Macaca mulatta: one gene and its partner. The protein of the gene in region 1 interacts with the protein of each later gene in a biochemical or structural test. Links are inferred from orthologs where the notes say so. Each region holds a gene or a part of one and is shown on either strand. Other genes may lie near its edges.

Region 1 (3,945 bases):
GTTATTCTAGCTTCCTGTAGAAATCAGGCTTCAAGGAGCATACAGCCATTCTTATCAACATGAGACACTGATTTTTAGGCAATATCTGTACCTTTCATAAAGCTGGCTAAAAGCATCAGCCAGTATTTATATAAGAATCCATGTCTGTTCTTTTTTTCCAAAAATCCTAGAGCAGTTGGTTCCTCAGATAAACCTGTGTGTTTCTTTTATCCAGTAAAAGCAGCGCATCCAGAGGTACTTGTTTTCTGGCCTTCTGCGAAGCCCACAGATAAATTAGGTCTCATCTGGAAACGTCCCATTTCAAAAGGCCTGCGGTATCTGTGCCTACCGATCAATTTACCGCCTCACTTTAAAATGTGAGTCTGTTCTTAAAAAGGATTTATAAGGCCGGGCGCGGTGGCTCAAGCCTGTAATCCCAGCACTTTGGGAGGCCGAGACGGGCGGATCACGAGGTCAGGAGATCGAGACCATCCTGGCTAACACGGTGAAACCCCGTCTCTACTAAAAAAAATACAAAAAACTAGCCGGGCGAGGTGGCGGGCGCCTGTAGTCCCAGCTACTCGGGAGGCTGAGGCAGGAGAATGGCGTAAACCCGGGAGGTGGAGCTTGCAGTGAGCTGAGATCCGGCCACTGCACTCCAGCCTGGGCGACAGAGCAGACTCCGTCTCAAAAAAAAAAAAAAAAAGAAAGGATTTATAACTTCGTCTACTATAATAATAAAATGTAAGCAATCTTGCGCTAGGTACTGAAGAATTTCATAGCTTTGAACTCTCCAAAATGTTCTAGAAGCCAATATAGAAACCCAGAGATCTCAGTTTTTGTTTGCAGAAGGGACAGGAGAACCGGTCGTGTTCGCCCTCCCAAGTGCACAGCGCCAGCATAGGGTCTGTCTAACACACAGCCCAGGCTCTGTAAACGTTTGCTAAAAGAACGAATCAACAAGGAATAAATAATGGATAATAATAATAAATAATAGTGAATCCATTCTTCCTGCAATCGTGGGTCTGGCGGGAATAAATTCCGGCCCGGATTCCGACCCCAGGGCCAGACCGGGACTCGCCTCGGCGCCTAGGAGGGGGCGGGGCTTCCCTGGGGTGCCGCCCACGTCGGGCGGGACCTGAGAGGCGCTTGAGGGGCGGGGCGTCCATGAGGTCCCACCCATGCGGGGGGCGGGGCCTGCGGCGCGCGGGAAGCAGCGCGCGCTGCGCGGGAGGTGACGGCGCCTCTGACCGTCCGGGTTCCTGCAGGTACGGCTTCCCGTGGCTGGCCCGGGCGGCTCCGCGGCTCTTTTGGTCGGGTCGATCTGGGGCCAGAGGCCCTTGCCCAGGGCCTGGGGCCCGGGATAGCTCCGAAGGGCGCGCGTTCGGGCGGCGGGGCCCCGTCCACCCCCGGCCCCGCGCGGCCTCCTCCCGGCGGCCTCTGTCCCAGCTTCCCGGGCCCAGCGCCCGGTCCCTGGGAAAGGCGGGGTTCTGCTCTCGCCCCGCCGCCCCGGTCCCCTACCCCGTTTGCCCCCCTCTTCCGGGAGGCCCCTCCCGGGGCGGGCCCCTACCTGGGCTCTCAGGGCGCGCCCCTAGACCCTACTAAGCGGGGACAGGCCGTGCAGATGGCCGGGGCCCCTAGGTAGCCTCTACCTGGATGTTTGGTTTTGCTTTTCTGGACGTAGCGGCGTATCATAAACTTGTGGATGTCAGGACCCAGCGAAGCATTTTAGGTGGAGCTAGCAAGGTGTTCTTGTCAGATGGCAACGTTAACATCCTTTCCCAATGCAGTGTGCATTTTAAATGGCTCCTGCCCTATTCAGCGCTCAGTAACCCTTCGCTGCTGCTAACACTGTTGTTTAATCCATCACCAGCATTTTGCAGCTTTCCTCCGTCTTGAAGTAGAACGGTGCCCGAGAAACGTTTTGCCCCTTCAAGACTCAGGAGGATGAAAGTCATCACTTGTGAAATAGCCTGGCACAACAAGGAGCCCGTGTACAGCCTGGACTTCCAGCATGGGGCGGCCGGGAGGATCCACAGACTAGCGTCTGCGGGCGTGGACACCGCTGTCAGGGTAAGCTGGGGCAGAGATAGCCATCTGGGAACACTGCTTGAAGCAATAGTTTTCATTCTTTTATTTAAAACCGATGTCGGCTGGGCGCGATGGCTCACGCCTGCAATCCCAGTGCTTTGGGAGGCTGAGGTAAGAGGATCACTTAAGTCCAGGAGTTCGAGACCAGCCTGGGCAACATAGCCAGAAATGAAAAAGTAGCAGGACGTGGCGGTGTGCAGCTGTAGGCCCAGCTACTTGGGAGGTTGAGGTGAGAGGATCGCTTGAGGCTTGGAGTTTGAAGGGAGCAACCATCACTCCACTGCACTCTAGCCTGGGTGACACAGCCAGACCCTTCTCTTAAGTAAATGAATGAATGAATTGAACATATGTCAACAAATTCAAACTACTCTGTCATCTAGCCCAGAATGCTAAATTTCCAGGGCCTGCGGTGAACAATGAAAGCAAAAGAGAGCTGCTTTTTTTTTTTTTTTGAGATGGAGTCTCGCTCTGTTGCCCAGGCGGGAGTGCAGTGGTGCAATCTCGACTTACTGCAACCTCTGCCTCCCAGGTTCAAGCTATTCTCTTGCCTCAGCCTCCCAAGTAACTGGTACTACAGCCACTCATTACCACACCCGGCTAATTTTTGTATAAAGTAGAGATGGGGTTTCACCATGTTGGCCAGGCTGGGCTCGAACTCCTGACCTCAGGTAATCCACCCACCTTGGCCTCCCAAAGTGCTGGGATTACAGGCCTGAGCCACCATGCCCTGGCTCTGCTTTCTTATTTGATTCATTTTCCCTAGATTATTGTAACTGGACGTTCATTGTTTTGGGATTCTGATCCTGGTTCCTATTGGGTAACAAGTTGCTCTAGAAAGAAGGCGGAGGGGAACAGTAGACATTTATGTTTTAGATGGGGATTTCTTTCTGAAAATAAGCATAGTTTTTTTTTTTTTTTTTTTTTTTGAGACAGGGTCTTACTGTGTCGCCCAGGCTGGAATGCAGTGGCCTGATCTCGGCTCACTGCAGCCCTGACCTCCAGGGCTCAAGTGATCCTCCCACCTCAGCCTCCCGGGTAACTGGAACTACAGGCATGTGTCATCACACTTGGCTAATTTTTAAAATTTTCTGTAGAGACCAGGTCTCACTATGTTTCCAGGCTGGTCTTGAACTCCTGGCCTCAAGTGATTTACCCACCTTGGCCTCCTAAACTGCTAGGATTACAGTTGTGAGCCACCACACCCAGCCCATAGTATTGTTTTAATACAAACAGTATAATATGTGCCTATTCTATGTTTTTCAAATGAATGTTTTGGTATTGACAGATCTGGAAGGTAGAAAAGGGACCAGATGGAAAAGCCATTGTGGAATTTTTGTCCAATCTTGCTCGTCATACCAAAGCTGTCAATGTCGTGCGTTTTTCTCCAACTGGGGAAATTTTAGCATCGGGAGGAGATGGTGAGTATTGCTGTTCTTCAGAGATTCTTTAGGAACCAGATAGATACCTGTGTGTCTCGTGTCAGATAGTGAGATTTGAGCTGAATATGCTTTTTTAGGAGGGGTGGGATAGAGTGTTGCTCTTATTCCCCAGGCTGGAGTGCAGTGGTGCAATCTCGACTCACTGCAACCTCCGCCTCCCGGGTTCGGGCGATTCTCCTGCCTCAGCCTCCCGAGTAGCTGGGATTATAGGCACCTGCCACCACGCCCGGCTAATTTTTTTTTTTTTTTTTTTTTGTATTTTTAGTAGAGATGGGGTTTCATCATGTTGGCCAGGCTGATCTCGAACTCCTGACCTCAGGTGATCCACCTGCCTCGGCCTCCCAAATTGCTGGGATTACAGGCATGAGCCACCGGGCCTGGCCTGGATATGCTTTTTATTTCAGATATGGCCGACCTTCTCAATCTGTCATTTAGG
Region 2 (3,954 bases), on another chromosome or scaffold:
ACAAATCAACATTCTGGGCACTATCCTAAGAGAAAACTCTTCCAGAGCAGATACTTCAGAATTAATTTTCTCTCTGAATTTGGCCAAGTTTGGTGGTTTCATTCACAACATTTAAGGAAAAAAGTGACGGTTTATGGATAGCAGGTAATAAAAACAAATCTTTATACCACTTACTAGTAATAGAAACGGTTTAGGCTCACAAATGTGTTAAAGCTTTCTCTTTCCCCGCAATGGTAGTCAAACAGCATAAACGAATCAACATTTCCTCAGTTCAGATCTCAACTGGTTACAGGCAAGCAAGGGCTCCTCAGAATTTGCTTTACTAATGGTTTAGGTCAGAAATTTTTTTGAAGATCAAATGTCTTGCTATGTCTTCGTGTTCTTTTCCCCATCTCTATTATGTGTGTTGCCCTGTTGGTCTCCTGACACTTCCATTTTCTCCTTTTATGTTCCTGCTATGCTCTCCCAATGGCAGTAACCTAGGGTATAACTGATCACACCTCTTGTGATTTTTTTCTTATTCTAGGACTTTCCAGATCTGGACTCCGAAGAAGACGCCCAGGTGTAAGCCCAAAGGTTACCTATTTAAATTTTCCAAGCACAGTGTGTGGAAAATCATTCCTCGCCCTTCATTTTGTGTTGCTTAACGGCGCTGTCGTGCCTAAACGTAGATACTGGCCAAGAGCTAGATTTCCAAAATGGCTTTGCTCCTTTCGAGCTGACATCGGTCTATAACATGCAATTTATTTCCCCTGCAGGCAATCTTTTTCTCTACTCCAACTACTACCCGATACACAGAAAGCTGAACCTAACCCAGTGTAAACACCGATTCTCATCTGCTAAATTCAGCAAGGCCGGCAAAGCTGTTGCAATGATGTAAAAAGAGCGTTAAAAAATTAAAAAAAAAAAAAAAAACACAAAAAACCACAAAAAAACAAAAAACGCCAAAACACCCACACGAAGCCAACCGGAGGGGCGGGCGTCGGCCGAATCGCGCCCTCCCGCCGCGGCCACGCCTCCCCGCCGCGGCCACGCCCCCGCCGCCCCTCTCCGCGCCGCCGCCGGCGGCCTCCGCGCGGGCCTCCCAGCCCTTATTCCACTCACTTTGTTCTCCGCCTTTGTCCTAATCCACACCAGCAGGTGGAGCCGCAGTTAAAGTTTCCGAGTCCATTCCGGGAGCGGGAGCCCATCTTGCTGGCTGCCGAGGCCCTCGCTGGAGGAGGAGGGTCAGAGCTCGGGTGCAGCCAATCGAGGGCAACGCTGCTACTTATCAGAGCAGAATGGGCTGTAGTTTAGTGAAATAGGAAAGCTGCAAAACACTGTGGAGTGCTCCCGTGTAAATAAAAAGAGGAAAAAAAAAGTTTCTCAAGTCGCCGCTGCACAACGTCGGGCCGGCGCTGGGGCGGGGGTCTGCGCTCTCCCGAGCGGCCGCGCGCTGGACTTTATTGTGCCGCAACCAGCCCCAGTTCCCATTGTTTGTGTTTTTTTCAAAATATGGCAAAGGTTCAGGTGAACAATGTAGTGGTGCTGGATAACCCTTCTCCTTTCTACAACCCGTTCCAGTTCGAGATCACCTTCGAGTGCATCGAGGACCTGTCTGAAGGTGAGTGCGGCGCCCGTGCGCCCGGGCTGTCAGTTGCGGGCTGCAGACGTTGAAAGTTTCCCGGGCCCGGCCTCGCGCTGGGCGGCTGTGTTCGGCGCCTGGCGGCCGCGGGCTGCTCTGCGGAGGGAAACTTCAAGTTGATGGTCGACGGCCGCCGAGGCGCGCGCGGCTTTCCGCCGCAGCCCAGGCGCCTGCCGGGCTCAACTTGCGAGGAACTTGTTTGAGCGGAGGAAGCCATGTTGTCAGCTTTGTCTGCGGGCGGGCAGCTCGGAGACCCGCACTCGCGCCCGCGGCGCCTCCTGGGGTCGCGCCGGGCTGGCTTAGCGCCGCCAACAGCTTCCGCGACCCTCCGGGCCCGGGCACGGAGGCTGGGAAGGGAGAGGCTGTGCGTGTGGTCGCGCCGGCGAGTTCGGAGCGGAGCCATCTTACCCCAGTCGAGAATTGGGCCAGCGACCCCGGCGCACGGCGCCTCTTCTTGCCCCTTCGCCCGCCTGCCCCCGGCGAAAGGGAGGCAGTAACTCTCGAGAGCTCACGGTGGAGTCGCCGCACTCTCCGGGCTGGCCATGCCTGGCCGCTTCGGGGAGGAGAGCGAGGCTGTCCTCGCGCTGATTTCTGGCTTCCTCGACCAACCAGCGGGGGAGGCGGGCGCAGGCTCGGCCCCTCCGCGCCGCGGGCTGGGCGCCGGCACTCCCCGGGGGCCGCGGGTCCTGTTCGGCCGGTCCTCTTCGGCCGGTGCCCGGGATGCGCCGGGATGCTGGCGCGCAGGCTCCCCAACCAACGTGGACTCCTTTCCCCTAATGACGAAAAGCTAATCTCAGGAAGAGAGAGAGAGCTGAGCTAGGAAGTTACATTTAACCTAAGAGCAGAAATAAGATACTTAAATAATTTCCAGGACTTAATCTCTGCCTTCTAAATAGTCTGAAAGAAGACTTTCTTCAAGAGCGTGTTGAAATGTAAAATAACTCCACATCCAGATGCAGAACACACCCTAAACATAAAACACAAACGTAGGCTAGGAAATTAAGGTAAACAACTCATGTCAGTCCAAGAATTCCTGGTATTTTTTCTACATATATTTTAAGGTCTTAAAAATACGTATTCTTAATATGTTTAGTAATAAATATTTAGAAAGCTAAAACAACAATTATCTTTGCTTTAATTATATTTTACTAAAGTAATTCAGTACTTCATTTGCCAGTTTTGAAGGGGAAATAGTTTAACTTCATCGATGAGGGGCATACTTCTTTGAACTAGAAGTGTATTTTTAAAATGCTCTGAAGATGATTTGGCTAATCGTGGCATGTAAAACTTTTCATTTTAAAAACTAGTTTTTAATCTCTAAAATGTATGTATCATATGTAAGGTTAATTTTAATTATAAAACAATATATATCATTGTAATAAACTTTTAGAAAGTTGTACAGGCATATATAAAGTTAACAGTTCTCTGTACTCAATGCCTTCCCCTATCTCCTTTAGGTAATCACAATTACTACTTTAACATGTGCCCCTCTGTGGGGTTTTTTTTTTTTTTTTTTTTTTTTTTGGTAAACCTATATAGAGTATAAATGCACATACATATATAGGGCAAATTTTGAAAGATGATTCATTTATTAAAATAATTTCAAATAGGCCATTGATAACACTTAGGGGTATTTTTCTTATTACTCTGAAGTCATCTGTATGATACTACTATTAATATAAGCATTGCAGCTACCAGGCCCATTTTTCACACCCAACAGTCAGTAATTTTTTTTTTTTTTTATTGCCAACTGCATATAAAAATAGACAAAAGAAAAACCATTGATCGGTCCATTCCAACTTACACCACAGTGTTTTTCAAGTATACCACCAGAAGTTCTTCAAATTACAGGTATTTCTCAAGTGATGCCTTCCATTTTAGGAGTCAGCTCTGAACAAAGAAGATAGATGACTCAGGATGTCGTTACAGGGCTTTTACATTGCATAGATGAAACCAGCCATTCATAAAGCCAAAACAGGTTCCATTTTTAACTGGGATCCATTCAGAACCCAGCTGAATCACATCAGGGTTTTACAGTACTGGTATCAAAAATATACTTATTTCCAATGGTATATTTCACTTCCTAGGCACCATTACTGAGCATTTATTTAGTATTTTAAAAAATATTTTAAGCTGAGTCATACTGAAGCTGCAAAGGAATCTTTCAAAAAGGTGCCATGCCTGTATACTCCACCTAGAGGCTATGTGGATTAAGGAAATTGAGTTTACTTAGCAAAGGCTTCTTATAGGTTCCATACTTTTATATTATAGTTCTTTTAAAAATTCTGTTCTTAAACTATAGAATTTTTTTTTTTTTTTAAATGAGACAG

The links. The genes of interacting proteins can lie anywhere in the genome.
Region 2: the proteins of CHAF1B (region 1) and ASF1A form a complex in vitro, tested with the Homo sapiens proteins (2 studies listed by BioGRID and IntAct). The link is inferred for Macaca mulatta from reciprocal best matches to the Homo sapiens genes CHAF1B and ASF1A.

Annotation. Positions count from the first base shown.
Region 1 is NC_133408.1:11,041,997-11,045,941, reverse strand, and holds the start of CHAF1B (chromatin assembly factor 1 subunit B), read left to right. Parts: upstream 1-1,145; 5' UTR 1,146-1,247; intron 1,248-1,852; 5' UTR 1,853-1,926; coding exon 1,927-2,052; intron 2,053-3,355; coding exon 3,356-3,488; intron 3,489-3,945. UniProt on the Homo sapiens protein: Acts as a component of the histone chaperone complex chromatin assembly factor 1 (CAF-1), which assembles histone octamers onto DNA during replication and repair.
Region 2 is NC_133409.1:23,859,364-23,863,317, forward strand, and holds the start of ASF1A (histone chaperone ASF1A), read left to right. Parts: upstream 1-1,154; 5' UTR 1,155-1,494; coding exon 1,495-1,603; intron 1,604-3,954. UniProt on the Homo sapiens protein: Histone chaperone that facilitates histone deposition and histone exchange and removal during nucleosome assembly and disassembly.